2 linked regions of the Drosophila melanogaster genome follow. The protein of the gene in region 2 interacts with the protein of the main gene of each other region in a pairwise test. Each region holds a gene or a part of one and is shown on either strand. Other genes may lie near its edges.

Evidence for each region.
Region 1: the proteins of DCX-EMAP (region 2) and CG2680 interact in a two-hybrid assay, tested with the Drosophila melanogaster proteins (one large-scale study listed by BioGRID).

What each region holds. Positions count from the first base shown.
Region 1 is NC_004354.4:2,701,344-2,715,603, forward strand, and holds CG2680 (uncharacterized protein), read right to left. Parts: upstream 6,085-14,260; 5' UTR 6,000-6,084; coding exon 5,610-5,999; intron 5,514-5,609; coding exon 4,986-5,513; 3' UTR 4,808-4,985; downstream 1-4,807. Other genes in the region: Ugalt (UDP-galactose transporter), read right to left, coding at 495-1,432, 1,945-2,113; eIF2Bbeta (eukaryotic translation initiation factor 2B subunit beta), read left to right, coding at 3,375-3,430, 3,494-3,580, 3,650-4,106, 4,197-4,582, 4,651-4,723; CG2681 (uncharacterized protein), read left to right, coding at 7,621-8,343, 8,977-9,558, 9,628-10,203; CG2685 (uncharacterized protein), read right to left, coding at 10,487-10,679, 10,750-11,927, 11,991-12,088, 12,153-12,278, 12,335-12,398; CG2694 (uncharacterized protein), read left to right, coding at 12,787-12,867, 12,945-13,110, 13,168-13,263, 13,434-13,937, 13,995-14,090, 14,171-14,260.
Region 2 is NT_037436.4:14,895,921-14,913,210, reverse strand, and holds the start of DCX-EMAP (Doublecortin-domain-containing echinoderm-microtubule-associated protein), read right to left. Parts: upstream 9,407-17,290; 5' UTR 8,975-9,406; coding exon 8,231-8,974; intron 1-8,230.

The sequences.
Region 1 (14,260 bases), on a different chromosome or scaffold from region 2:
CAAAAGTAGTTGTGGCTGTGAATTGGCCGAACATCAAGTGTAACTTGAAAACTATAAATCGTTACAAATCTTAGTCTAAACTTGAGTGCAAGTGGATATTTACAAAAGGATAGGCACGGTATGTGTGGTGTTGTCCAGTAAATACTGCTGGCATTCCTCAGCATTCGCAAAGTAACAATTAAAATGATCAATAAAACGTGCATTCAAGCTGCATCATTTCATTAACTACACTTTAGTTTCGCTAGTGAATACCCTAAATACATTTAAATTACATAAATCATTAAGTATTCTTATCGCTGCTTTACATTACAATTATCGTCTCAACAGAAAGTGCTACGAATTGTCCAGACGTTAATATCCATCCTAATATATATACACACAAAACGTGGGGAATATCAAGGACACCGGATGCACCGGATACACCAGAGCAATTACCGAACGGCGGCCTCCGGGTTACGGACAAATACTGTTGGCAGATCCGGATTCCTCCAGAGCTAGACGCGCGGCAGCAGCTTCTCCTCATCGCCGCCAGGACCATGCATAGTTGGCTTCGGCGCCGACCTGGCCGGATCGTAGCCGTAGAGAAATATGGAGGCGATGACCAGGCCAGCTCCGAAGCTGAACTGCAGCGTGAGATTGAAGTCGAAGATGTATATGGAGGCCACGCACGAGATGATGATGGCCAGCGAGGTGGCGAAGCCCTTGAGAATGTTATCCGCGTACTTGACCACCACGGCAACGATCAATCCACCGCCGGCCTGCAGCAGGACCAGGTACCAGACAAACAGATCGTAGCCCTTGAAGAATCCCTGGTCGAAGATCCTACTGCCGTCGTTAACGAAACAGGTGAGCAGGCCGAAGGGAATGCTGAGCAGACTCAACTGCACATTCCGCATCCACACGGAGATCTCGGCACCCTTGAGGATCTTCTCAAAGTAGATGCCCGCGAATCCGGAGAGGAAGCAGGCGCCCAGTGCGGCCCACAGTCCGAGCATCCTGTTCTGCTCGGGAGCACCGCCAGAGGAGGCGGCCGTGGCTGCAGCTGCGGCACCACCGGCTGAGCCACTCGTCGGACCCTCCGTTTGGGCCAACTGCACCAGGACGATGCCCATCACCAGGAGCAGCAGCGCACCCCACTGCGTGTTCAGCAGCTTGCGGCGCAGAATGACAACCGCGAACATGGCCGTGGTGAGAATCTTCAGCTGGTACGTCACCTGGTAGGTGGCCGCATCCAAATGGGAGGCAGAGACGTACAGCAGATTGTTTTGAACGATATAGACCAGCGAGGGGACGCACACCTTCAGCGTGTCCATGGGATTCGCAATGATGGTCTTGTGCAGCGAGCGTACAAACTTCTGGGCATCCTTGCCCTCCTCGTTGAAGACCAGGAACAGGCACGTGATCAGTTTGGCGAACTCTGCCATGAGTACGGCTGCGAAAGAGGGCGCAAAATGGCAATCAATCAATCAAATATATGTACATATATACTAATAAGTCCAAGTATCGCTGTTCGGGTTTTCAAATAAGTCCGGTTAACTTACACACAGAGTCACCAAAGCAATAACCAAAGTTTAATGGCAAAATGTAAACCCATATGTAATTCAAGAATGCCAACCAAACCTCCTTGAGCTATCGCGGTAGAAGTTCCCCAACAGTTTTATCAAGCTATTAGGAGCTAAATGCGGAAGTGGCTGCTTATCAGTTTCTTTGGCAGCTTCACATCTACCCGAACGACCATTCCCCGCCTGCCACTGCTCCTACACCACCTTCACCTCCACCTCTTCGACTCGTTTGCTTTTACTGCTGATGTTGCTGCTTGCGTGGACAGACCCACGTCGAGGTTTCGTGGAAGTGGCTCTGGGCAACGAGGTGAATCTGCTAAGCGGTGAACCGGCTTGACCTGCTGAGCCCGACGACCTGTTGGACTTTTGGATAAGCACTCACCCGTGGAGCTGAGGAAGATGTCGCCTGGCCGGGTGCGGGCGTAGCGCATGCTGAGGCCCAGGATGGCATTCTGCAGGGTCAGCGTCAGCAGGCTGATGTACTTCAGCGTATTGGCGTTCACTGTGCGATGGGAATAGGAATACGTGACGGGGGCGGGCAGGAGCGCCATGTCAGTACCGCTGGAGTAACGCCACCGCACTAAAGGCCAAATACTCACTGTGTATGCTATTCATGGTGCTACGCTTCTAGCTCTATTGTCTCAACTCCAAAACCAAATAGAAACCGAAGGCAAACAAAACGCCGTAGTTGGGGGTACACAAAGACTCCGTTCCTGGCCAAGATCAGTTGTCGGCGGGCCGTTCCGTTTGGCAGTTCGTTCCCTTCAAGTTGGCCAGAAAAGCAGAAGAGCGCAAATGAAGACGACTCCACTGGACCGGGCGACACGTAAACAACAATCAGAGCCCGAAGCTTCTGCCAGCGGCGGCTTTTTATCGCCGCCTATGTGGTTGTTGTTGCTGCGCGCCAGGGACGTGGTCCTGGGCTTGCAACGGGGGTCATAAATGCGAAACCTTCTTAATTGAATGCAAACAAAATTTAAAAGTGCATTGTGCATTTCAGTAAAGTAAATACACCTTACATATGCTCCTGGGGGATGGATCCCCATTTTAAAGCAAGCTACGCCCATGGCGTGCAGCTTTTGTTGCTATTTTCGCAGCAGAGACCGACTTTTCGATAGTCACAGTGCTGGCATTGTGGCGGAACTCGCGAAAAAAGAAGTTGCTTGCAAAAAAAGCTAGATATACAATAATCGGGCATTGAGATTGCTTAAATTAATGTATATATTATGACTTTAAAATTAAAATTAAAATTTAACAAGAGAGCATGGGGATCGAAAGTAGAAAACAAGAAAACTCATGGACGAAATACATAAATACATATTGTGCATGCTTGTTCTACATGCACATGTATGTTAAATTTTTAAGCCCAGCGAAATTTATTTTTGCCGCACTAGGTTGGCTATTTACTCAGCTGCCGTTGAAAATACGTCATGAAAGCCAGTATATGCAGACAATTAAAATAAACATAAAACATCAAATTAAGCCAGTGAATGATGAACAACCTGTTGGCGGCACCTGATAATTGCGATGCATCAAATTTACAATACAACATTACAAATATATTGCCATTTGGGGGGATTAAATAAATTAATTTAATCAAATGCAATAAATGAAAACATTAATAATTTCCGTGTTGATTTTAAATCTTTTACTTTTTTGAGTTCATCACTAGAATTCGCTTTCGCCTGCCGCCTATCGATAACATTGCTCGGTGTGGCGATTTCGTAAATAGTTTTCTAACTGAATAATGGTAACAGTTGGCCACTTTAGTTGATAATTCATAATTGCAAAGACCAGAGACGCCAGGACACGATGAAGGAACAGCCGCTAAAGGAGATCACACAGCTCATCCACGCCATCAAAGTGGGGTAAGTCGTCGGTTGGCAGGCACTGCGATTCATTTGGTTGTTAAAGTGGCATATGTTTTGCAGGCTGGTGGAGGGATCCTACAACATAACCAACAAGACGCTGGACATCTTCAAGTACATCATCATGAGCAAGAGCTGGCAGAACGCCGAGTGAGTTGCAAGGGATGGCACACCAAGGATAACACATTAACTGATAAACAACTCCCCCTCATTTGACAGTGCTCTCATGCAGATTGTGCGCGACCAGTGTAAGATCCTGCAGGCAGCTCTGCCCCAGGAGACGGTTACCTCGAACATTGCCAGGCGGATCCTCAAGCTGACTCGCGAGGAGTTCGATCTGTTGCACGCCAAGGTGCAACACTTCGCGGACGACTCACAGGCCTCGCTGTCGCTTCACAAGCTAGTCACGCAGACCAGCGAGAGCAACGTCAGCGTAGATTACTCGGTGCCCCAGCATGGATTGCGGGAAGCGCTGCTCGACCACCTGCAGGAGGTGGAAACGGAGCTGGAGACCAGTTCGGAGAACATCTGCGTCCAGGCCGAGGAGCACATCCATTCGTCGGAGATCATCTTGACACTGGGACACTCGCGCAGCGTCGAGAATTTCCTCAAAAGGGCGATCAAAAAGCGTCAGTTTCTCACCATCATCGTAGCCGAATGTGCGCCAGCCTGCCGGGTTAGTTGGGTCTCTTTATGGGACGACAGTATTTGTGGGGTGTAAGAAAATGCTCTTATGTTGCTTAACAACTGCCTATGTCTTTTACAGGGTCACAATTTGGCCGCCAGCTTGGCCAACGAGAAGAATGTGGAGATTGTTGTGATCCCAGATGCGGCCATCTTCGCTATGATGTCGCGCGTCAACAAGGTAATAATCGGTACGCACAGCGTGCTGGCTAATGGAGGACTCAGAGCGGCGTGTGGAGCGTATACAGTGGCCCTGGCCGCCAAGCATTACTCCGTGCCGGTCATTGTACTGGCGCCCATGTACAAACTCTCACCATTGCATCTGTGCGAGCAGGACGCCTTCAATATGGTCGGCTGTGCGGAGGATGTGATACCCTACGATTCGATTCCAGCGCGCGAAGCCAAGGTATACAGTCCCATGTTCGACTACGTGCCTCCGGAACTGGTCACCCTTTTCATATCCAACACGTAAGTAGTGCGCTTATCGGCCTTTCGACTCTTTTTTATTGCATTTATTGGATTCTTTTTTTACTTAGCGGTGGCCATGCCCCCTCGTATGTGTACCGCCTCCTTACGGAACTGTATCATCCCGAAGATTTGGAGATTTGAAATCGTGTTTGTCTCGTTGTTTTAGCAATTCTACCAATAAAGTCTACAGTAAAGTAGCAAGCCCATTTCGATTTGGATTGATTTAAATGCATCAATTTCGTAGACATTTATAAACTTTAAAATTCAACAATAATTATATCGAATAAGCAATAACGGTGGATCGGTTTTCGATTTAAGAACATTACTACTTTATCTTGGGTTGATATAGTTAATTTCAGGTAGCACGTTTCTCGTAATTTCCCTGCGGCACACGATCCTCAACCTATTTTTGAATATTTTCAAGCAGCTGCGTGAAGTCGGCCAGGCTATCGGCATAGTAATCCGGCTGCGCTTCCACCGGGGCGTTCAGCATGTCCTCCTTTGTTAGGCAGCCGCTAAGTACCAGCAGGGACTGGAAGCCGCAGGCCTTGCCGAACTGCACATCCTGCACCAGTGTGTCCCCGATGAAGATGCAGCGCTTGCAATCACGAATCTCGAACATTTCGCCAAACATTTCGCCCAAAATGGGAGACGGCTTGCCCAGAAACGTGGCCTCGCGTTGCGTGTAGCGTTTAACGTGCTCCAGGAAGTCAAAGAACCCGGCCACATTGAGATTCTCCGCCAGTGGCATGATGACATCGCTGCCGCCGGCTATCAACTGGCAGTCGTCATTCTCCTGAAGGTGCCTAATGGCCTTCGCCAGCTCCACGTACGAGAGGTCCAAGTGGATGTCGAATAGCACAGCGCCCACGGGCTTTTCAATGGCCAGGTGATCCACCAGCGACGCGGCCGTCAGGTGCTCCTTGACTTGCTGAAGGAGAATGATATGAAATTTAATAGTCACACGGAAGCTCTTGAACTAAATATATTGTATATATATATTTATAAGTAATAACCTTCCCCTTACCAGCGATTCAAACTCGATGTTGTGCTTACGTAACGTTTCGTTCGCTTCGAGGGACATGAGGGAGTATACCCGCTCCCCCGGCTTGTGCTTCTTCAGGTACCGGACAATGGTCTTCACCGGATGAACGATGTCGTCCTCCTGGACGTTCTTGGCGCCGATGTGGCGAAACTTCTCCATGTAATCCTCCTCGGACCGGAAGCTGTTGTTCGACACGAACTTGATCTGCTTGCCGGCCGCTTTCAAGGCATTGACGGCGGCTCCCGTGTTGGGAATCCAGCCCACCAGGAGCCAGACGACGCCATCGCAGTCGCTGATCACCAAATCGAAGGAATCGATGAACTGCCGCTGCTCCTCGAGGCTGAGCTTCAAAATGTGTCGTGGTGGCGACATGGTAATGTTGGTTTTTTGGCTTACAGGAACGAATTGGATGCTGGTTGCGCGCGCACGGAAATTCCACAGCCGACTAACCGCCTTTGCCGGCATTTAACCTTCAATGTCAACGCATTGACATTGTTCCCCCGGTTCCTCGAACCCGAACCCAACCACCCCTCGCCCATACAACCCTATGCCTACGTACATATGTGCTAAGTATCTTTTATTACACGATTTAGCGAACCCGAGCGGAGTGGCTCGTCCGATAAGATTCCGTATGTAAATATAAGATCTTCTGTGTGGAACGCGGCATGAAAGACTCGTGCGATTTGTTGTCTATTTCACATTCCCATCTGCCGGACAGAGCGGATAGCAGTCCGGAAAATACATACATACATATGTATCTCATTTGCTTCCTAGTTCGGATTTACAATCAAGCGTACGCGTGATTATACCAAGTTTATCTTAAGGAACAACTTATAAAATGAGTCTGCTGCATTCGTCAAATTTTGGTTATTCATGCTTTTGACTGTCATTTGAATTTACCGGATATAATTTAGAACCATATAGATTATCGAACTAGTTCCACTGCCAAATGTGACTGAAATATATTGGTCTCGAAATAATTGACAGCCTTATTATTGAATTCAATTCTATGCAATCAAAGCGAAACCACAAACCCAAAATGGCTGTAAAGAAAAATTTAATTAAATTTCAAAGGCTTTTGGCATGCTATAAATATTATATGTATTTTGCGATTCACATGCTTCCTTTTCTTCCTTTCAATTGCATTTCTTACAAATCCTCTGCGATACACGTGATTGAAGGCGATTGACATACATACATATGTATGTATGTAAGTATTGATCGGTGGTGCATCGGCCTTTTGTTGCTGCTGTTGTTCGCTCAAGCTTATAACAGGCAGGCACAAACGTGTACAGTGAACACTCGAGGAAACATGTATGAGCACGCTTTCCTCAGTTCGAAAAGCAAAGGTACAGTTGACGCATGGAGAAACTAATAAGTATGATGACAATTGCGAAAGTTCAGCAGCGTAGACAACAGAATGCCTGTCGCCCTACGGAGGTCCCACTGTGCTGGGCCGTAGACCCTGGCCACACATGTCAACACCTTGACATTGATGGCTGCGGCATTTGGCCAACGGAAGCGGAGAGGGGGAAATGGAAAAGCCGCCGGAACGGAGGAAACCACAAATGGCCAATAATTCAAATTCAAATGCAACATTTCAATTGGCGGGGTCCGGAAGACGCTCGTGTCCATGTCCGCGTCCGCGGCGGTGAAGGCAAAAGAACTGGCCAACGGGGCGGGTACTTGATGTGCGAGCGCGTGTGAGTCGCGTCGCTTGGGGTTCGGCTGCGTTTTTGGTTTGGTTTGGTTTGGTTTGGTTGGTTTTGGCTGCGGCTTTTTGGTATATCGCATCACAAGTCCAAATCGATTGCCGGGCCAGCTAGTTTAGTTAGGCGTCTCCCTGATAAGATACGAAAGTACGAGTTGCGAACGCTTGCGAAGAATTCCGCCAGAAGAAAAGCACATTCGGCCACCTGAGCTTGGAGCAACTGTTCCCGGCGGTTATACAACCAGACGACAACTAGTCAAAAACTAAGGAAAATTGCCGAAAATGTCTACCCTGGCCAATGGTGGAAAGGAGGAGGATCTAAAAATTCTGGCTCAGCTGAAGAGCATCGAACAGATCAACGAGCAGCGCCGCATATTTCTCAACAGCACGATCAATGAGGAGGTGCCGGAGGCCACAAACGGATCGACGGTTCGGGAGGAGGACCTGGAGAAGAATCTGAAGGCCATAGACGAGCCGCAGTCTACGAAGATGCCCCCGGAGGAGGTGGCGAAGAAAACGCCTGATGAGGTCCCAGCCCAGGAGCAGCAGAAGGAACCCGAAAAGGTGGAGCCAGCCAAACCAGTGCCCCCCAACACGCTCACCCTGAACGTGAAATACGCCACGCTGCCAAGTCCGAATGTGGTGACCCTGCGATCCCCACTTTCGCCGCCCCCTAAGCCGCCAATGCTGGGCCGCACCCGCAGTACAGGTCCCGCCGATGGCAAGGGTCCAGCGAGCAATGGAGCTCTCTCGCCGGACAGCTCCATAATCCGTCAGAGCTTTCCCGAAGGCGTCATCACGCCCAGCAAGCCGGAAAAGAGCCCTGCCACGCCCAGCGAGGAAGGCCCGCCGACCGTCTCCGCCCGCCACTACGAGGGACTGATCGAGGAGCTGAGGTGTCCCGGCTGTGCCGGCGCCATGAAGGCGCCCATCCTTCTGTGCAAGAGTGGCCACAGTGTCTGTGAACAGTGCACCCGCATTTTGCTCATGTGCCCGCTCTGCAAGGTAAAAATTGACGTCAGCTCGCCAAAAGTGTTGTTCGGTTATCAATATCATATTGCCCCAATGTGCGCTCCTTATCTAGTGACGTGCAAATATACATTGGTATAGACTAAGGAAAAGCTACTCGCAGATTGCCATCATCGACAGGCGCAGGACAGAATGATCTCCGGTGGAGATTAGTTTATTACCCAGCCGAGGGTGTCTAATCAATTTTCAAGTGCAGCCCCACTATCTGCACTACAAGTGTGACTATAAAAAATAAGCCTTGTCTTGCACTAGGAAATGTGTGGTGCCACCAGTTCACTCTTCTAGGGCATATTTATTAGTGCCATCTTCTAAATATCCAACCGAATCTGAAATCTGCAAGAAGGAAGTCGATATTAACGTTTGCTCGGACTTTTCCATAGATAAACTTGTATGCTCGCTAACCAATGGACAAAATAAGTACATCGAAAAGCCCGTGTCATACTATCACTATGATAAGTATGATAAAGTGTATAGTTTCTTCATCATCAAGTTCTTTCCATCAATACTAGGAAATGGGGCATATGATATGGGTAACACACATCACATTCGAACTTGCACACTAAATTGTATGCCAATCCCGATGTCAATGCAAATAACTTTATGTTTCAGGAACCCTTCACCAACTCCCGATCGCTGACCGTGGAGGCGCTGTGCGCCAAGGCGCACTTCCGGTGCGGACACGCCTCCGGCGGCTGCCAGGTGCGGATGCCGGTCGTCCTGCTGCCGTGGCACGAACAGCAGTGCATGTACAAGCCGATGAAGTGCTTCATGGGCCGAGTGTGGGGCGATTGCCGCTGGCAGGGGCGCGAGGTGCAGTGGAAAGAGCATCTGGAGGAGCAGCACGACGACCGCCTGTTTCGGTCAAGCAGCGCTGATCTGGAATGGAATCTAGGCACGCGGCGGAAACCGTTAACCGGCTACTATGTCTTCCAGGCGCACGACGAAATGTTCAACTTCTACGAGATCCACGACCGCCAGCGTGTGCTGTTCACCATGACCTGCACGTCGAACCGGCGGGACAGCAAGTACAACTTCGCCTACGAGGTGACGGTGCTGCTGCCAGACAACGAGGCGCTGTCCATGACCCAGAAGTTTCCCGTGCACAGCGAGTACGACAAGGACATCCTCATGGAGGGCACATGTGTCAGCATTCCGCTGACGGAGCTTAACCGCTTTCTGGACCAGGACAAGGTGAGGGAGTACTTAGCACCAAATGTCCAGCATTCTAACTAATCCACTCATTCGACGACCACCCGGCAGGTTCTTCATTACCGCGTGAGTGTGCTGGCGGTCAAGTCGCCGCGTCGCGCAAAACCACCTCGCCAAAATCTGCCGCAGCCGGCGGACCTGGAACAGGCCCCGAATGGAGGCGTCAACGTGAAGAGCGTGCCGACCAACATGATCATTACGCGCACCTACAAGGAGGCCATCGGCGAGGTGACCAAAGCGGATGTGGCCAGTCCGGACTCGGAGGAGGATCCGGCTGCAGCCGACGGCGCTGGGGCCATTGGAGCCGACGGAGCCGGCGGTGTGGAGCTCGAGCGCAAGTGGGGCACACCGCAGCTGCACTTCAATCGGAAATATCTGCGGAACACTCTGAACGATGCCACGCCCGCGGAGGATGAGCTGCGTCCGCTGGCCGCCGATCTGCGCAATGGAAATGGCGACGATAAGCTCTCCCAGTGCAGCAACAGCACGAGTTACACGAAAAAGGTGTCGGATTCGCTGCGAAGAAGCTTCCGGGCACTCAAGGCGGATATCGTGGAGCTGCGCCCGTTCAGCAAGAAGGCAGTCAGGGATGGATCGACCTCTCCGGTCCAAAGCAATGGCAAGTAGTGATTCCGTGTGTGTGCCTTTTCTAATTCGTCAACAGTCGCAAGAGTTGAAAGCATGTAAATATAGCAAATGTTTTAATCTATTGTATATGTACTAAAACCGAAATAAATAAAATAAAAAATAAAAAAAAAAAAACAAATTATACTCCACACACGTTCGTTACTTGAATCTCAGTCCGTAGCAAGCTGCGAATGAAACGAGTTTGGTTTGGTATTGGTTTGGATGACACGTTTTATCTAGGACTTAGACTACTCAGCTACCACTACGCGACTCCTTTTGCGTGCTACAGCAAGCCCTGCATCTCGTTCATGAACTGCAGATAGGCGTCATCCTTGGTGGGCGGCTTGCTGTGCGCCTCGGAGTGGGCGTGGTGTCCATCGTTGGCCGCATGCCTGGGCCTCGCCGTGCGTCGCTGATCCTCGCGCTTCACTCGCAACGTGGACGGTACAAAGCGGGTGACATCCGCACTCAGATTCCTAATGAGTAAGTTTGGAATGTTTAGTAATGGGAATTGGTTCTACTGCGCCGGAAAGTCATCGAACCCACCTGATTTGTGGCTTGGCTGTAATAGTGGCCACACCCTTGGCTGACTCCTTTGGTGCACCTGCGCCGCCTCCCTGCTTATTGTGGTGCGCAAGGCGCGGAGGCAGACCTGGCGGCGGTCCTGGTGGCATCCTGATGCCCATGCGCGGTATTGGTCCCAGGCCATGCGGTGCCCTGGGTCCTGGCGGCGGTCCAGGTGGCATGCGTATGCCAAAGCCGGAACCCGGGTGAGGAGGTCGCATGGGTGGAGGTCGGTACATTATGCCAGGTGGCCCAAGATTAGGAATTGGCGGTAGGTGTGGCAGCTGTGGCGGCGCAGGCACAGACGACGCTGGTGGCAGCGGAATAGTCGGCAATGTGGGCGCTGTCGGAGGAGCTGGCGCGGGTGTCGCTGTAGATGATTTGACTGATGCTGGCTTGGTCGGCACTTCGGGCATATTTTCATCCTCATCCTGGTCATCGTCGTCCTCATCGTCCGTACTGCTGGCGGTTCTCTTATCGGAGTCAGATGTTCGTTCCTCTATCTTATCTATATCTTTCCCATCGTCCTCCTCCCGCTTTTTGTCGGCCTCGTCCTCTTTAGCCGCCAGTTTTCGATGCTTACGCTTGTGCACATGCTCCATTTCCTTCATGAAGTCGTCGATATTTTGGTTATTTGGCTCGGTGGCCTCGCTGTTCTTGTCCTTCTCTTTATCCTTGCCCTTCTTCAATGGCTCTGGCTCCTCCTCCTCGCCCTCACCATCGTAGTCAGTATTTCCCTCGGCATCGGAATTGAGTTCGGAAAAGGCAAACAGATCTGGCGGCGGTCCCGGCGGGACACCCAGCCAATCCTTTTGCTCGTTCTCCTTCGATTTCTCCACTTGCGCCTCGCTGGCTAAATCGCTATTTCTGGACACGCCTGGTGGAGCGCCTGGAGCATAAGGCGGCAGTGCCATTGTCATGGGCGGTGGGGGAAGGCGTATGACAACGGATGCGCCGAATCCCGCAACCACCGATCCGCCAGTCGTTTCGGTAGAACCGCCTGACACGGCAGACACCGGAGCGGGCAGTGGAATTTCGTCAATCTGGACGCTCTGGGCGTGCTTAACGCTTTCGTAGTACTGCTGCTTCTTCAGGCGCTTCTTCTCATACTCCACCTCCTTGCGCTTGAGGTCCGCCCAGTGCTCCGGCTCGTCATTGTGCTGGAAGATGGATATTTCAGTTGTTAGGTGGACTACACTATTATCGTGCCGAGTTGGTCTTACATAGAGTCGCATTACGCGGTCGAATGTTTCCTTCAGCTTTTTGCGCTTGTCGCGCAGCACCTTCTCGTTCAGCGGCGATGGTTGCAGAACGTTGTACTCTGCAAATTGTAGACGCTGCATGAGTGGCTGACGCGAATCCTGCAGGCTCGATGGACTACTCACCCATCTCGTCGATCTTCTCCATCTCCTCAAGTATCTGTGAAGGATCCTTGTTCTTCAAAACGGCGGCCCGCACCATTTGGCGCTGTTTCTTGTTCTTCTTGAGCTCCTTCTTGCGGGCCTCCTTGCCTGAAAGGTGCAGCATGGTGGATTCAACATATCGAGCTAAAAAGGATCATACTTACGCGCCTGGTCCGTGGGATTCATGTACTTTCCACTCTTCGTGGTGTTTATGGAGCGGCGTCCCATCTTGCTGGCTATTTCTTGTTGCTGCAACTAAACGAATGACTTCACCTAAACGCCGGCGCTGCAATATTGTTACCGGCGTTTTTTTCCTGCCCAACGTCCTAATTTGCTTTTATAATATCACTTTCAATTGATTTATTTATATTTTTATTTATTTATTCGTTTGCAGCTCGATAGGCCGATACACGCGCAGGCTGATATCGATAAAAACAGAACAGTAAGCACTAGAGCTCGAAGTGTGACCAACAAAATTTGGCGGGGAATAGCTAACATCCCATACGCTCAAAAGTTTTCTCCGATGTTTTTCATCACTAGCCAGGATTAGAAAAACGATAGACGATTATTACCGCCACATAGGTAACGCGGCAACAGACGCGAAATTGCCAGTACGATGGCATTCGAGAGCTCTGCACAGCAGTTAAAGATTCCGGACGAAAGGATGAATGCACAGTTGAACAATAGTGGCGTACAGGTAGGATGTGAACCAGTCGCCAGCCAGGTCAGTCAATCCTAAGCCCATTTGGTTGATTTCATGTAACCGCGTGCAAGGCGTCGCAATCCCATGTCCTATTCACACCCAATCAGATACCGGGCGCGCTGATAAGGATTTCAGACGATTTCCTTACCTCCACGCCGGGAGAGGGCCAGAAGGACGTGCCCACCACGGAGAGCACAAAATTGCAGAACCTGCACAGCCGCAAGCTGTGGGACATAGGTAATAACAATGTTATCTACTTGACACCTGCATTTTCATTTCGTTTTCATGATGCAGGTCCTGGTTCCATTCATGGCGAGGGGAAGACACCGAAGTTGGCCGTGAAGCGTCTCTGGCCAGGCTGCGGGGACGACGAGCCGAACGCCAAAAAAGGTAAGTGGGTCTGGTTATGGGAATATGGGATATCGGGCAGCCCAAGCTAAATTCATGCAGGCAACTAGCTGTGCTTGTGCTTTTTAAGTCATCCCAATAACCGGCCTCAAACTTTCCCGCTATCAGTCAACATTGCCGTTTACAGAGCTTCTCGTGCCGTTGTTTTTCAGCACTGGCATTCGAGCAATTTGTGTCGATATACGATAGGAAAATAACGCCGCTACCTCAAATCGAAAAAAGTCAAAGCCGCAAACAAAATAACGAATTCGATTTCGCATTCGAAATGTCCGCGAAGCCAAGTGCCAATTCGGAGGACATCCTTCTGGCCGGCCTGCTCCAGGACTGGAAACTAGAGGACCATGACAACGCACAGATTGGCTGCGACCCAGCGCCCATGCCGGCCAGTCAATCCGAATTGGCACTGGTTCATTTGAAGTTGCCGTGCAAGACGCCCCAATCCCAGCCCCAGGTGGAAGCCCATCAAAATGCTTCAGTTGCGACCGTCAACAGCGACAGCGGAAGCATAATACTAGTGTCCGATGATTCCTCAGCTACGGCGTGCAGCTTCCTTCACTCGTCCGAGCTCTGTAACTCCTCCGACTTCGAAGAACTGCGCAAGGAGTTCACCGAGGACTCCTCATACATCGATCTCTCACTTGATTCGGGCAGCAGCAGTGAGTGCCGATCAATCAGTAATAACAATAATAATTATAACACTGCGAATGCAATAGATCCTAGTGCCATTGAAACCGACATGAAGACACACAAACTGGGCGCGAAGCGCAGATCGCCGCAGACCAAGGGCGATGTGTTGGCCAAAAAGATTTGTGAGTAAGAGGTCGAATTGATCTGCAACCTTAGGGGCACCTGCTCTAGCTAAACCATTTACTAAATTGCTACTACGCAGCTTACCAGAATCTGAACGAGATGAACATCTCCTCGAATCAACCCGTGGTGACGCGCAGTGGTCGTGTTGTGGTCTCACGTCCGAACCAGC
Region 2 (17,290 bases):
TCCAACAAATTCTAATTACTGTCATTTGGCTCTGGTCTAAGTTTTTCTCGGAGTTTGCGGCTTTCCGTTCTTGGCAACTTGTGCTCTGGACCAGCATAAATTGGCTTCCGAGCAGCCAAAAAGTTCTGCGACTCGCTCTTCTTTTGATTAAGTTAATATATTTTAATTTTGTTTTATGGACACGGGAAGTAGTAAAAACGAGTGAAATTATTACAGCTCATTGAAAACAAAACAACAGTCGTTTACCATTTATGGACTCGTTAAAGTGGATTACTTCTGCGGCTGTTTCAATAAGGGTCAAATGAGGAAAAGAGCGAGTATCTTCGATGATTTAAATGGCCAATTCTAATTTCCCTCTCGTAAAAGGGGTAAGCAAATAAGTTCAACCCTTTTTATGTAGCCTACTCGATAAACTTTTATAGTTTCTCCACCGTTACTGGCACTCGGAAACCTTCCAATTTCAACAGTTTAAACTGTCCTCGGCTATTTATTCAACACGCCGGCTCCTTGTTGTTGCTGGCGTTGCAATTAAAAACGCTGATATATGTTCTTTTTACAATTCAATAAATTTACGCAATGCTTTACTGTTGCCAGTCAACCCGGCGAACCTTCTCCATTCCCCTGGCTTTTAATGCAATATTTGTGTTCTCCTGTGCGCGCTTTTTGTATACAATTTATTTTGACTCTGTGGCGCGGCGAAACGATTCAGAATCTTGCAAACCAATGACAGTTTAATTAATTGCCGCACTGTAATGCGTTTTAAATTGTCATGTTTATACAGAAAAATCCAGCGAGTGCCTCTGTATTGGTCCAGCACGTCCTTTCTGCTTGTGGGCGAGTGGCAGGACAAGAGCTCACGGCATGTCCTTTTATTGCGAGTGTGTGGGTTGCTTAATGCCTGATTGTGGGACAATGAGGGAAATTGCCAGTAATAAAGCTATGGCATTATATTTTCAGTATGTGTAGAAATTATGTTATAATTTAAATCTGTTATTCAAAATAATCTCCAAAACATATTTATTCGTCTGATATTGTTTTGGTGCTAACTAAAATTGCACGAAATAGTTGAAATGCTCCAAATGAAATCATACATATTATTTAACCCATCAAAATGGAGAGGAACACCAAACGACTATTAAACTTTTATTTTATTTTAGAGGCTCCTTTTTTTTACTAGCACATGACAGGCACATTTAATAACTCAATGGCGAAAATAACCCACCGTAGGCCATTTATGGGCATGGATGTTTGCGGGCAGTAGGATGGCTGGCTGGTAATATTGTTTTTCATTTGTGTTTCATTGTTTTCAATAATTGTTATTATTGTCCGGAGCTGTTTTTCGATTTCAACACCTACATATTTTCATAGGAACTCGCACATGCGGTCGCTGCTGTCCCGACACCCGCAACCCGCCTCCCGTATTGCTAGTGCAATTTCAATGGCCGCAAACTACAACAATGAGCCATTTAAATGTCAACCACAATGAGGATCGGGTAAACATATATATGAATATTCACATATTTATGCACCGCACTCGTGCAAATGTGTGCGTTAAGCCACGGCATGCAACTGCTCTGATTTGATAAGACGCTTAAGTGCTTCGGTTGGACTAATTTATTAAAGTGCTTTATTAATGCCCTTACGAAATCCCAGCCCCAATTGCGTCGAGGCATCTGGATGCTCCTAATTGTTAGTCCTGCCCGAAGGAAAACTATAGCAGTCCAACAACAATGGCGGTCTGGGTCACATTTTCCAAGCCAATGCGCCTGCAACACGGCGAGAGCGTAATATTAATAGGCGTCTTCGTAAGCAAAATCTCTTGGCTCCCCGCCCAAGTTTCCATGGTTGTTGCTACTGCTGTTGCTGTAGCTTTTGCCATAATTGCAAAACGCCTTAAGGCTATAGACGCGTTCGAGCCCATACATATGTCCATACATATGTAAACACATAATTATGACTACAGAGGGTTGATCAAGGATTCTTAAGGAATAAATGTTGTCGAATAATACGGATTGATGCTGATTATCGTTTGCAATAAGTCAGTTATATGGAAATTCATATCGGAGACCAAAATATTGTATAAAATAACAAGGGCAGTTTATTATCACGAAAAAATAAAGGGCAGTAGAGCTTAATTACGTGTGTAATATCACTTTTACTTTAAAAATGTAAAAGTCCTTAAAATAATCGTTAAGCCAAAAATATACGTTATATCTTTACAAGCCTAATAGTTTACATAATATATATTATATACATATTATATATGTATATTATATTATATATTTTTTAAAATAATATATATCTTTAACAAAAAGTCCAAGTTTTTTGTTGGTTTCTGGAATAAACTGCAAAAACCTCCCTCTGTCGTATAGACAACATTTCAGCCTGCTGCATCTTCATTATGTGCGACCAAATTAAACACATACACGTAATACATGTTCTCAATCGAGCACGCATATTGTTCAACAATTTGGCGACTCAATTCGAACTTGACTCCAATTAGATTCGAAGGCGTGATACAAATTGTTTGTTATTGTTCCCGGCCTGAAAGCCATTTAATTATACAAGTAGTAATGTAATTTTTCAATAATCGAATCTATCCGCAGAATGGAGCAATTATTTCGGACCTTTTCATACGACCTGATTGGCAAACAAATTTAAATGAAAAAGTGCAAAAGGACAAAAAAATGGCAGCGAACAACAAATTAAGAATGCGATGAAAGGCGGCAATTAAACGGTAAAAATCCATGGCATTTCGCCTGGAAACTCCCCACCATCCTTCTGCCACTCCAGAATCTCGATGTGAATCCCCTGAATATCCTGATGCTGCAGCAGCTACGTGTGCCAACTGTCAATGCAATCAGTAGCCGTAATGCTGCACCGGCGGACAACTCAAAAATGTAAATCAAGCATGGCTCTGATGACGTAGTCAGAAAATCATTAAAATGAGCCCACAATGGCACCAGTAGATCCTGCCGAGAAGAGTCAGCAGCGGTCAACAATGCTGGACAGCAGAAAACAACAAAAAATGGCCAGTCTGTGTTTATATTTGTGTCGAGCAATTAAAAAATCATTGCAGCAGCAGCAAAGGAGCTGGAAAAGTTACGGAGTTTCGAACTGTGGAGTGATCAGGAAATTTTTTCTTATATAAAAGTTTAATGGATTTCTATTAATTATATATACTCATAAATATTCTTTGAAGTTCTGTACAGTTTTCAATATATTTAGCAACGAATTTATGAAATATATATATATTTTTATATTATTGTATAATTAAAATAAATAGCCACGTTTAAAACTATTGAGTTATATACTTCCCTATAAATTAATCAATAAATAAGATAAATCTGGCTTGTTGCCTTTTTTTGAGTATGAATATCCGTATTCTCAAAATAATTATAAGTACATTATTTTCCAAATTTATATTCCCCTGCTCACCGCTCGTTCAGTGGGTATTGAGTATAAAATCCTCTTGTAATTGTGAAGCAGACGCGTTGTACACACACAAACGCGCATTACTCATACGCCCGGTTGGCTTGCACCTTTTGTTAAATTTTCGAAGTGAATGGAGGGGTAGGGTGCAGAGCTAAAGGGTTGGGAGGGGCAAAAGGCAGCTCTGGAGGCAACCGAGATTTTGTCGTGGCGCTGTAAGTGAAAAGGATCACGACCACGCAAATGCGCAATTTATGTCGTCAGGTGCAGTCAACGGACACAGTTGTCCCGGCCCCTCATCGCCATTTAACCCCCTTTCACCTCGTCTTTACCACCACCACCACCAACAGTCCATACCCCACCTGTTAGCCATAGTCAACTATCTGAGCCCACACCATCGCCATCGCCATCGCTCGCCAGCTGGTTCATCCACATTTCACATCCCTGGCGCGTGCAACACGTAAATGGCAGCGAAATTTATCAAACGCTTTATAGCCCAAAGGCAAGTTCCGAAGTTTTTGGCTTTCTGCGGTGTGGAAAAGCGATGAGGGCGGAAAACCTGGAAAATAACGCAGACGAGACGGTGGTTTGTGGGGTTTAATCTTGTTCACATGTCACTGCAGCTTGTTTGGTCATAAGTTGGCCGCCTTGGCAGGCAAAAAAAAAAAAAAATAATTGACGTGAAATCTGGTCGCTCTCCATTCGCCTTTCGCCCGTTACCACTGCCGATTACCACCCACTGCCCACTTTATATGCAGTTAATTACAATGGCGCTGACCTTGCGTGCTGCATGCCCCGCATTTTGGCTTTTGTTCTCTTGGCATGCCGCTCACGTTTGTGCCAAAAATCTTAATTTCTTTGCGGCTCTGCGTGTCCATTTTTCTTGGCCAACCGGGTTTTGGGGTGCAGCAGGAAAAGGAAAGCAAAGGAAAGTCCTGACCATCATTCATAATTGGCGTGCTGCACCTTTAAGGCGTATTTATGGCACAGTGGCATTATCGGTCAGCAGAATTCTGGTCTCTGGGCTAGTTGCTAAATTGCACGATATATATCTAATTTCACCGCTAAATTGGCCAGCAAGGAGAATTCAAATGGAATTTCATATTGCGGTCGAAAAAAGAGAAAAGCTTGTAAATGACATTGCAACTGCATTCGAAGGTGTGGTGGCAGAAGAACAAAATAAATTAAATAAAATACAAAATGCAGGGCGGTATTAAATCATTTCTTCATTTTCTTGAAACCAAACATTTTGTAATATTTTTATGGCATGACACATTCTTAATTCTACTGAAAGTTGGTCAGCTTTTAAATTGAATTTTTATGGGGTCAGAGCCGATACTATTTATATCATGTGTTAAAGGGTAAAATAGTTCAATTTTTAGTGTGTTTAGCATTTATGGATTTATACATTAACCGATTGAGGACTTTAGCATTAAATGAAATATCCTTATGCGGCCCAAGGCTAAAATAACGGCCAAAAAATATATTACAAAAGGGTTCTGTTTTGCATTTTACATTCCTTTGGTTTTATTAAATTTACTTTGAGATTATTTTCCATCCTCTTTACCAAGAAGATGTATACCATAAACAAATTAAGAATATGGAAATGAAAAATTGTTAAGGCGACAGCAACTTGAATTCCTTTCAGAGAAAGCTAACAAATTCCATTAATGCTCGTTAATCCCTTCCCCATTATTTTCCCTCGGCTCCTTGGAACAACCAAAAACGACGTTTCCTTTTCATTGTCTGAAAATTCCTCTGTCTCAACCCACTGTTGGGCCTTCGACCTTCTCTGGATGGTTAGAAATTTAAATTTTGATTACAAACTGTGTGCACAAGCCACCCACTCCGGGTTCTTTTGGCGCACAACACAGCAATTATTTGGCGGGGCAAGCTTTTGACAAGGTTAATGCAATTTGCTGCACCCAAAATCATTCAAATTTCGCGTGTCGGCGTGAGTGTCGTCACGCATGCCCGGTTGAATAAATTATCATAAATGATTTTGTAAACAGTTTTCGTCCGCTCGGCTCGGCCGCAAAATGAATTTATATTATTAGCCAGGCCAAAATGCACTTTGCGCCTGCTCTGGCCCGATTTCTTGGCCCCTCCCGTTCGGCGTAGTACTTTGCATACATTTTTAATTTCCCTAAGTGAAACGCCACAAGTTTTCAAATTGGCCTTTTTCGCGTGAGAGCGCCCGAAGTGCCGGCTGATTTTCTATGCATTTTCCCATCTGATGAGTATATATGTGCCCGCAGCTCCATTGTTCTTTGTGGCCTTTTGTGCCACGGCGTGGAGCTGGAGCCCACGACCCCACACAACGGATCCCCTTTGGTTGCCGAAGAGAGCGCCGCTGGCTCATCATAAGTTTTGATTTCAGGCGGTGCAGCGAATGGAGCGAAGCCCTATACATAGAGAAAAAATGGGTACTTTTCTTATTTCATTGGGAATTTGTAGGGCTAAACATCTTTCATCGAAGATTCCTGTTCTGCACACCAAAATTAGTATCAGGAACAAGTACATTTTCAATTCCCGGATAAAATTTTCTGAAAATTCTGAGATTTTGGATACATACTGGATAAATACTTAACTGAGCCATTCATCACAAATACATTTTTGGCTAACTTACTAAACCTTTGTACTTTACGGCCAAAATAACTCTATGATTTTGACACAATTTTTTCGGCTTAACGGTTAAAGTTTCTTTACCAATCGCATTCAAATTTTAAATTAGCAATAATGGAATTTTTTTTATATTTTCACTTTAAATGTATACCATTCTTGACCACAGCTACATCAAGTTATAGTTATTCTTCATAAATAGTCAATTTTCAGAAATAAATTGAACAAAACCGCGAATTGCGGTTTATTTTGGCCTTGGGTTTTTATTGACCATATTTTTTGGTGAAAACCGCAAACTCTCAGTTCAATCATTTTATGTCGGTGATTTTTTCAAAAGTTTTTTAATGTTGCAAAATCAGGTTACATACTCAGTACTTTAAATACAATATTTCAAGCGCAGTAGTTAAAAAATGAAATGACACTATTTTATTAAACGCTCAGAATAAGATTAAACTGTTGCCGAAGATCTTTGAGGAAAAGAAAAAACAAAAAATTCAAATATTTCGACACTTCTCTCATGTTCTACCAAGAACAAAAAATCCGAATATATATGTATGAGTTCTGTCAATCTTGACCGAAAAAAAAAATATCCTTGGTTGAAGTATTTTCGCAAGTGCACTCTGCATGCTCCATGCTGCGCTTTTGTTTGCTAGCCGCGGGCCAGGCGCAATTGCCTTTGCCGTAGCGAGTTGCAGCTGAAGTTGAGGCCGGAGTCGCAGTCGGTACTTGGTGTCCCGTAGTGGAGCCCGGAGGAGAAGCCCCAACCTGGTGGATGGCGGGTGTGGGGTCTTGGGTATCCTGGCGGGATGGAATGGCTGCCTTTTTTCTTTGTCTTGGGCACTGGCACATCCTGACTTTGGCTCACGCTTCGACTGCATTAGACGCATAGTCGGGGATGGCTTTTGACTTGGTCGTTAGCGATTATGGTTTGCCGCAGCCTCTCCAGCCAATCCCACAAAAACACCCCAACTCCCAAAGCCACTCCCACTCAGCCTTATCATCATCAGCCACCCACAACGTTTGTCAAACGGAAGGTGGAAACTTTTTCAATAGTTGTTCCGGAACATGTTGGATGTGCGGACGCTTGATTGCTGCACCCGCATGATGTCTGCGATTTGTGTGGATTTTTTTTTGTTTTTGGCCAACTGCCTCGGCCAGATGTAAAAAGAGAAGACTTTTAAGCCAACTGTTTGGCGAGTATCTGATTGAAATTTATGCGAAAGTCAACCCTTCAAATGGGTTGCCTAAAAAAATGTCCTTGGGTGACGAAATGGTTTTTCGAATTTCATACAATGTTTTTATGACTTTATCCCCTTGTTTCTTATACTTAAGTCTTTTTACATTAATATAATTAACTTGTTTTATAGAATCAAGAAATTAATGTACTATGTAAATAAAAGAAATAATTTTCTCCCTCGAACTTTTGGATGAAAAGTTATCGTTAAATCTGTTACTTTTAATTCGATTCCATCCACCGCTTTCAGTATATTGATGGAACTTATCGATAAACTGCCAGCTGACCATTTCGGCCTAAAGAGTTAATGTCCTTATCCTTTTTTGCTCAACTGAGCTACTCTTAAGAACCACTGTTCTCTTAGCCGTCCCAACTCTCAAGTTAGCCCACTCTCAGTCGACCATAAAGGCTAAGACCTAATTCCCAACTTGCCCTCGTGGCAGGCCAAAAGGCGTGCTAATTGTTGGCATTGTTTCTAGGGCTAGACTCCCACAACAGCGAGAGTGAGTGAATGCGAATGTGTATGTGAATGAGAGCGAGAGAAAACGAAAGTGCTTGCATGCAAAAATGTGGCCCCACCGAACAACTAACCACCCACCCGCTCACTTCACCCATTTCCCCCGCAAGGACCCGCTTTTCCGAAGAAGAGGGAGCAAAACAAAGAAGCCGAAAGGAAAGCGACGCCTTTGATTTTTAGGCCAAGTGACCAAGTTTTCTCACTCCACAGCGCTGACCGCAAAAAAACGCCAAAACCTCGTATATAGTTTTATGTATGTTATGCACACTTACACACACAACCGGCACACTAACTAAAATTATACCAAAATATTCAAATTTATATTGATTTTGCGCCTGACGTGAAAACTCTCACTTAAACTTCAAAATAATGAAAAACTTAGCTGAGCTGAAAGCAGAAATGCATGCAAATAATCTGGTACTAACCTTGAAGGCCTTGAACGAGGATACGACATAGAAGGCTCCATCCTCCAGTTCATCGAGATGATATTTTCGATCTCCGTCCATGGAGAACACATATCGAGCACCCCGTGGCAAGTCCATCTTGGGCGAGATCTTATCGAGAAGATTGTCCAGTGAGGTTACATCCCGTCCGGGACGATAGCGCAGCTCCACACCCGGAAAGAATGGATCCCCATTCCGGTAGAACACCACACGGCGTGCCTTCCAATAGGAGAGATTATTATATCGCGATGCCGCTGCACTTGAAATTTCTGGACGGGATTTAGATCGCACCAGCGGCACCACTGGCGGCTGCTCCGAGTTCTCGCTCATGTTGTCCAGATACCCGGGACTAATGGCGCGACTCTGCCGCCCACTGGTTGCACCAGTGGTCGCACCGTTCCGTTGCTGCCAATAATCCGGCACCTGGCGATCTCCACCAGCCACCTGCTCGCTGGCTGCTAAGTCCTCCTCATCATTATCGTACCGGCTGGTGTTCTGAATCCGGAAGCTGGAGGACACTGGGCGCTTGGGACTCTTCGCAGGACTGCTGCGGTTGCTATCGTTGTTGCCGTTGATGTTGCTGCCGTGCTTGTTAATGTTGCTGCTGCTGCTGTGGATGCCGTTCCCGTTCCCGTTCCCGTTGTGCAGATTATCATCCAAATGGGGCTGCGTCGGTGGCGGCGAAACGTTTCCCTCGAGCGGTGCGTTCGGACTAATTTGTGGCATTGTTTGGCCGCCCAGAACGGAGTCGTTACTGCCAGCTGCCTCTCCACCGCCATCGACCTCATCCTCGCCGGTCTGGGCCTGACTCAAGCTGGCCATATAGTCGTCGTTCTCTTCGTTGGACATTGTCCTGGTGTTGGTACTGTTGCTTGTCCTGCTCCTAAAGCAGTCACGTCAGCTTTCTCTTAAGGAATTGGCTCAACTTGCGTGCTCGGTTTGTTGTGGTCAAACGGAATCGCTAAGGGCAGCGTCGCGTCGACGCAAAGGAAAACTTGGAGCTCCCAAAAGGGGGGCAACTTCTTGGAGGTTTTCTTCGAGCACGCAGTCGCTGGTTGCCCAGCAAAGAACTACGTTGCTGGCCTGGCTAAAGTGGAAAATGTTTGATTAGAAATTTGATTAAGGATTTAATTTAAGTCATTTTAAATAATATTTTTGGAACCAAAAAAAAACATTTTTTTATAAAACATCGGTTCGAACATCGAACGTCACTCTCCTAATATAAGAGGTCTATAAAAGGTTGGAAGTAAATTCTGTTAAGGAATCTATCAGTTATAATATTCGTGATTCAAAATTGTTTATCATGTACCAACTGTGGAGAAACAATGCCAAATCTTCACAGTTCTCTGATAGCCTTTAACATGTCAATAGATTGTAATTATCGAATATATATTCCCATGTAATGTCTTCATTCATAATCCTCAAACACAGCATACATATGTCCTGGTCCTTGTTCCACTCAAGCCTTGCACTTAGAAATATCAACTGTTAACTATATCCTCACCCTCTACGTAATCGATATGCCACGAACTCTCGATGCAATGTGTCCAATGCTCCCATTGCCCAGGGCTCTCCAGAGTTCCGCCCTCTCAGCCTGCCTGCTGCTCGACTCCCCCACTTCACAGGACTCCAAAGGATTCAATGGGCTGTCCGGCGAGCACTTGCCACTGCCTTTGTCCCAGCAAACAGACCAAAGAGCCCCACTCAACCATTCGGCGTGGGCACTACAAACATTCACACTTCTGCGGGGTCGAGGGACAGGGTTCTGGGTTCTGGGTTCAGGGTTCACAGTTCAGGCGGCTCCACTCCTCTCCTCTCCCGCTGGAGAGGCCGAAAATATCGCGTATTATTTGCCCTGCCTTGCCTTGCCTTGCATTTGGCTACCTCACACATCGATGAGGGTACACTCGAAGTCGTATGAAAAAATTCTAAACCATTTTGGGTTTAGGTTCAAGAACTATATTGTGTCCAAAATAAATGCATAAACAATTCTAGTTGTATCTTTATATATATATTCTATATATTATTACTAATATCTAACTAAAAACTCGCACAAAAGGACCCGCAATATCACTTTGCAAATTTGTTATATTTAACATCTGAATACCCCAGAAACAGGATTTTAGATTTAAGGAAAATCATTCTGGCTGTTTTTCCTGATTTTTCCCCAGTGCATCGAGTGTTAAGCACCGAAAAATTGCAGACGGCAGGGAACAAGCCGACGACTCCTGGCTTAAGTGGCATTGGTCTCTTGTGTCTTTGACCACTCTGCACTCACACTCACACACAGTTCACCTACAACCATTCACACACACTTCCACACAAACCGGGATCCAAGTCCTTTTCACTGCATTGGAATTTCGTGTATTTTACAATTGCAACAAAAAATAAATATTTGTGGGCCAAGGGAGCTGGAATTTTCACTGGTGAGCCCTTTTACTTGATTTTTTTTATGGTTTCACCTTTTTATTTGTGGGGTGGCGGCGGGCTTGGGTTTGGATTTACCTGTTTTATGCAAATTTGTTTTTATTGCAACACGTTGCACGTTGCTTCTTCCTTTTGGTCGTCGTATTTATGGCCGTATATTTTTTCGGTTGGGGTAAAAGTGGCGCGGTGGCTTCTTTTGCGGCAATTAGGTTAATGACACTTGGGCCGGCAGTTGTTGCTTTGGGTTATTTATGCACAAACAGTTGTGCCTCTCCACTTGCAACATCAGCAGCATCCACTTCCACTAATTGCCTATCAATCAGCCGCAATTGTCTCCACTTTTGGATCGGTTTTTCGGGGAAAAACGGGAAAAACACTCACTTATCGGATAGCACAAACCCATTTACTTGAATCAAATTTAATGAACTCGAAGGCGAGTTTATTAAAACATCTCTCGCGCTGGCAAGAAAGTTGGCCAAAACAAAAGTGCGAAAGTTTTGCTTACTTTCTGGCATTTACCGATGCACAAGAAGAAATTCCGTGTGGCAACTTTGCCGGTCAAAGTGTTTTTGAAGTGTGTTTCGAGCGGCGCTGCCTGCTGGCTGTTCTGCTGGTTTTCCCGCAGCTTTACCTTCTGCTGCTACTGCTGCCTTTTGTCCACTCTAAATTTCCTTGGCGACGCAGCCAATTTTCTTAGAGAGTGCCTTTCTCTTTCTACCTCCTTTCCTCGAATCGCGAATCGAATTACACGTTCGCCTGTGTGAGTGACTGACTTATGGGGCTAACTGCCCACCGCTTCCCGCCCGCTGCTCCACCACTAATTGTGCCCTGCTTAGGAAAACCACAAGCACTCGCACACAAACACACACACTCACACACTCACACAGACATGCACTCATACCAGTGCAAAGGAAAATCCAGTGGGCCATTTGCTGTGTTCTCTTAGCTGTTTGGCTTTTTCACCTTTCTCATTGCACTATTACCTGTCGACCAGTGGCGTCGCCAGGAGATTCCTTATCCTCTCCAATTATTATGTTCGCATGGGATCCAGTAGATTCCTGGCTTTGACCGATTGATTGTGGGATTGTGTCTTTGCCCGCGGCGGAGCTTCGGCCTTTAAACTGATTTCCAGGGGAGAGCTGCAGGGTAGGGAAACGCTTACCATAACACCGTAGCTTTAGCTAAAGCAGGTCCTTTTACCCCCTGTGGCTCAAAGGCTTCATGGCACTGTGGTTAGATTTTTTTGACTTTAATAAGCTGGATGGCTATTTTCTAAATGATATAATACATATTTGGTTTAGAAGATGGTCAAAGGAAAGGCACAAACACTTTCTAGAAAATAATACAAATTATCTAAGCCCTGTTTTATTTACATTAAAGAGAGTTTCCCAACATTTTCTATGATTATTTAATGACAATTGTAGTAAAATATAATTTAATAAGCAAGCATATATATGCTTATAGCCATATCCGAGGCTTGCAAAAACATTTTTCCCAACGATTAACTTTTATAATCGCTTGACTGGATATGGCAGCTGGATTAATGGTACGTAATTGAAACTTTATATTTATATTTTCGAAATTCCCAAACACTGCACCACAGTACCTGACTTCCCCCGTCCCAACACCGCCATTAACCACCACCACTTCGCTTTCAAATTCTGACTTGGGGCACGTTCCCCGAGGGGAAGTCGCAGTTTTTTGCTTATCGTGTTTATATTGTCGTCGTTGTGTGTGCTTGGGGTTTATGTTCGTGTGTTTTGTCGTCGCCTTAGTCAGCAACGTCAACGTCAACCTCACGGATCCAGCAGCAGCACCTTTCTCATAGAGAAGGTGCCATACCCCTCGATAGAGGGGTCCTCGAGGGGGCTGGTTATGCGCCACTCACATGCAACTACTTGGCCAAAACAATTTGTGGGTTATTTTCGCTGCTTTTGGCAGTGCTGTGAAATTTTCTGTGTCACGCTGGTCGCACGAGCAACAGTCCCCGCGAATAGTACACTCCCACTAAACCGCAGAAATAAATTCTATTGGCGGGTGGTAGAGATTGGCTGGGGTAATGCTTTCATTTTTTCTATCGTACAATTAGGCCAAACGTTTGTGGAAATTTGTTTTTATTACAATGCTATTACTCGTAAATTGTATTGGTTGGGGGCGAGGACTCTCCGTTAATAACTTCGTGAGTTTCCTTCGCCGTACGCCCTCGCATTCTTTTAAATTAATCACATTTTTGTGTGGGCGACGCAACGTTTTGGTGAAGTTAATGTATTATTTTAATGCCATTTCCGGCTGGCTGCCTGATTTATGGATTTTCAGCCATATTTCTGTTTAATTATTTCGCCAGCTTTGTGAATTGCCACACAATTGAATCATCAGATGAAAGTAGCTGCGGATTATCTTTACTCCGCTAAATGGGAATTTTTTCCCAATGGCAATTTCAAAGTAATTTTCTCATGCCCCGCAGAGGTAAACTTTTAAGCTGACTTACGTAGCTTCGATCTGAAGCATCATTCTATCCAGTTTCAATTTCAATTATCTAATTTTGCCCAACAGACCCAAGCTGGCAAACAACAAACTATTAGAGGAGCCAACAGTGGCACGCCCACATCAGTTAACAACTAAAATAAGCTTCCTTTCTGTTGCCAATACGACTCCTTTGTGCCTCCCACTTTCGGCCACCAATCAAAGTGCATGAGAGTGCTTAGGGACTGTGCTGGCAGGAAGTCTTGATAACATAAAATGGTATTTCAGACATTATTTAAATATATTGGTATCCATTTTATATTATTATATTATTTGGAACCGTAAATACACATTTTGAAAATTTTTAATAGCTATACCAGATTCTTTTACAATTTTCTTTGTTTAATTTTATATATTTGGTTTCTGTAATTATAGAATTCTGTGAATAAACACTATTGGATTGCATATTTCTTAAAGGCGTTGAACGTTTTAGTAACTTTTTTGTAGACATCTTGCCCTCGTTTTGGATTAGATTCCAGCATCACTGGGTAAAAAGGTACCTGCCATAATGAGCTCTTTCAATGCCCCAGAGAGCGGGTGGGACAAGGTGCGGGTGGTGCAAAAGTGCAGGCTGCAGCACCTTGTTGCCGTTCGGCATTGTGCTCACATGAAGGACTCTGGTACTGCGGCAGCGGTGGCAGAATCCACGAAAAGTCGATGCCCACAAAGGATGTTTTGTTTGCTGTAAATGCCCACTGTGCAGCAGCATGCACACACACGTGCCCACCTTAAATTTCCAGCTAATGTACTCACGTGCAAACACCCACTCATGCACAGACACACACACACTCCCGCACATGCACACACCATTGCAAAGTACGAGTAAACAGAAAGTGCAATGCAAGCCACTAAAAAGTCCAATGCCGCCGGCATGCATTTTGTATTGCATACTTTTCTGCGCCGTGGCCGAAAGAAAAAGAAAATTGCAGGAAAATGGCAAAATGGCCGGGGTGGCGAACATTGGGTGGTGGGCGAAATGGCGAAATGCAGTGGAAAATATTGTGCAAAGGGCGCGGTCAGAAGTTGACAACGACAACAGAGCCAACAATGAGGCATTTTTAATGTGACCATTAAACAATGGCAACGAGGACAATGCACACACACAGACACATATACACAATCAAGCCAAAAAGAGGGAAAGAAACACATTGACTGCAGTGGACGGCGAAAGTAATAGTTTACCCAACAAACTAAATTTGAAAAAGATATTCCAAACGTTTAAGACTTAAAAATGGAGGTTTATATCTTGTATAATTGTAGTAACAATTATGTTGGGCAGGCAATCGATTACGTTTCGAAGTACTTATTCAATTGGAAGTACTGACTTAATTGCGATTATATAGCACTTGAAGTTGAATCAAGTGGAGCATTGGGATATCCGCTGCAAGCCAAAGTTTCCCAAGACGAGGAATGTACATATATATCTATATATGTGCGGAAAGAAAGGCAGACTTCCCATTCAGCTGCTGTCAGTCGCGCGCGAAAACTTTTCAATACAAAGTATGAAGCCCATGACGCTACTAAAAGGAGACATTGAAGAATGCGACAGCCCCGATGAGGCGACGGCAACAGTGCATCAGAGGGCCCAGGAGCAGGCCAAGAGCTATAAGCCAAGCAACAAGCCACGGTAAGGACTTTCGGCCGAGCCGAGCCACATATACAACTGAATGAACCGCAACAAAGGCACTCAACTGACTCCGATTGCGACTCCGGCAACTACTACGGCTACAAGACATGGTCATTGGCTATACAGACGAAAAGAGGATATTAATGAAATGAAAGTACATTTATACTGTTTTGCTTTAACTAAGTTAGAATGTATTATAACAATTGGTTATAATACTTATAAAAATATTATATAAGCTGTACAATTTAAACATTTAAGAATAAGCACTTAAAAATAAGCTAGAAACAAGGAGAAGTAATTGATTGATTGATTACGAATGCTCATGATATTTTTCCACCGTGTGGGGGTCTGCGATTGCGGCTCAAGCTTTGTCTTGCCACTCAGCTGAACAACAAACCCCCAACCACCACCGCGTTCCCATAGACGCTGTTGCATTTGGCCATGGACAAAACCGCAAGCAGGGCGAGCATAACAAGAGTTCTTTGAATGGCATGGTAAGGAAAGGAAAGGAATCGAGCTAAGGGAGGTGCTATATAGAAGGGAGTCGTCGGATGGCTGACCAGGCAGCTGCCATGTCAAACTGAATGAATGGATGGGAATATGGCTGGAAGGCAAACCGACCACAAGCAGCCCAACAGCTTGGCCAACTTATGTGAACGCACATGCACTGCAAAACAAGAAGCGTTCGACAGATTAATCAAATAAAATAAATAAATAGTTATATAGGAGTTTTGTTATGTGTTAGAGATGTCGCAGTTTCTATAGATTTTTATACGATGTATTATCATAACCAATTACGTACAAAAATTGAATTATTCATCATAATTTTCAATGAACTTAGTGAAATGCTTCTAAAAATGAATTGCTTAACAGAATACTAATTGCATTGCCCAAGTTGCTCACATTTTTCAGTGCTCAAACACATGCTTTGGCACATAAGAATGGAGAAGTTGAAAAGTGGGAACGGAGGTCCTGCCAACGCATGTCAAGCTGGCCGGCCAAGAAGAAAAGCTCATGTCCTCAATTGTGAATGCGACCAGAATTGTACTCGTAGTCGTAGTCGTGCTCATTCCCATTCCCAATCTCACTCTGAAACTCGTACTCATCCTCGAACAAAAAGTTTCAATTGTCTCTGGCCGAGAATGTGTGAATGCGATTGTCCAAGTTTCTCATTTGCGGCAAGGGTTTGGATCCGTTTCGGTCTCGTTTCCTGTTGAATGTGGGCACAATTAATTTTTGTTGCGTACATGCAGCATGTGATCGCAAGGATAATGATGATGCAGATGGCCATGCCTTATGCGCCCATATTGTGCAATCCCTGGCCTGATAAATGCCCCACTTGACCCTTGTGCCAGTCGAGATGTCTTCAGCTCTTTCCGTTCCGACTCGCAATTCGGGGTCCTGTCTTTTGTGGCCAGCCGGGGGGCATTATCTCCATCTCAGATAGTGTCAGCACCAGAAACTTTCGCCATTAATGAGTTATGCAAAGCTCGAATGGAAGCGGGTGTGCACTTAGCGCCACATCCTGCATCTTAGAAATTTAATTCAAACCTGCACATTTGCTTAACCCCAGAAACATATATCTTAAATCTAGTAGTTGTCACAAGTCAGGGATTATATTCCATGGAAAGACTTCAGGCATTTCGTTTCGTGTTTCTTTTTAATATTTTGAATTGTTATGGTAATAAAATTACAATTATTTAAAAATTTATTCATTTTAATTTCTTAGAAAATTATTTAAAATGCATAACAAATTGCTATTTCACTCTAAAAATTGTAAATATTCAGTATTGCTAAATTCCTTATTTTCTAGCCTTGAGTGGGTTAAACCTTGGCTTTCCTCTTTCTAAATCTTTTGTCGTTAATAAAGCAAATGACCAAAAAGTTTTCAGCCAGGAAATTAGCATTTGGCAGCATTCGCTGTGAGCCAGTTTGGCCACAATGCTCCTCCATTTTCCTGGGGAAATGCAAATGGCTGGCCAAAGTGTTACGGTTTCTGGTGCTGCTTTTTTTCTCGCTTTTGCCACCGCGCAGTTGATGGGTAGCCATGATTAGTTTAGGTCGGAGGATCGCAGACATAGCCATTCCCATTCCCTACGTTCGCGCAACACGCCGTGCCTCATGCCGCATTCTGCTGGCCACATGCTCGCGCTGTTTTGGCATCAAATGTTTCGCACTGAGGCTCTCAGTCTGCTTTTAATATGATTGCAATTCCCGCTGTGGGGCTCTAGCGAAACACTCGCATTCACACGGCTGGATGGTCCACTTTGCGGTCGTGGATGCACTGCACCATTGGCGATTGCTCCACACTGGTACATCACTTTTTTAGGCGATCATGGGCTCTTATCAAGTCTACAATATCCGAGATCCAAGTACGAACTTGAAGTGAAAAAAGAGTTTAAGACAAATTAATTTTATAATCTTTGGTTCAACATTTATTTTTTCAAGACGCAGTTTTATGATAT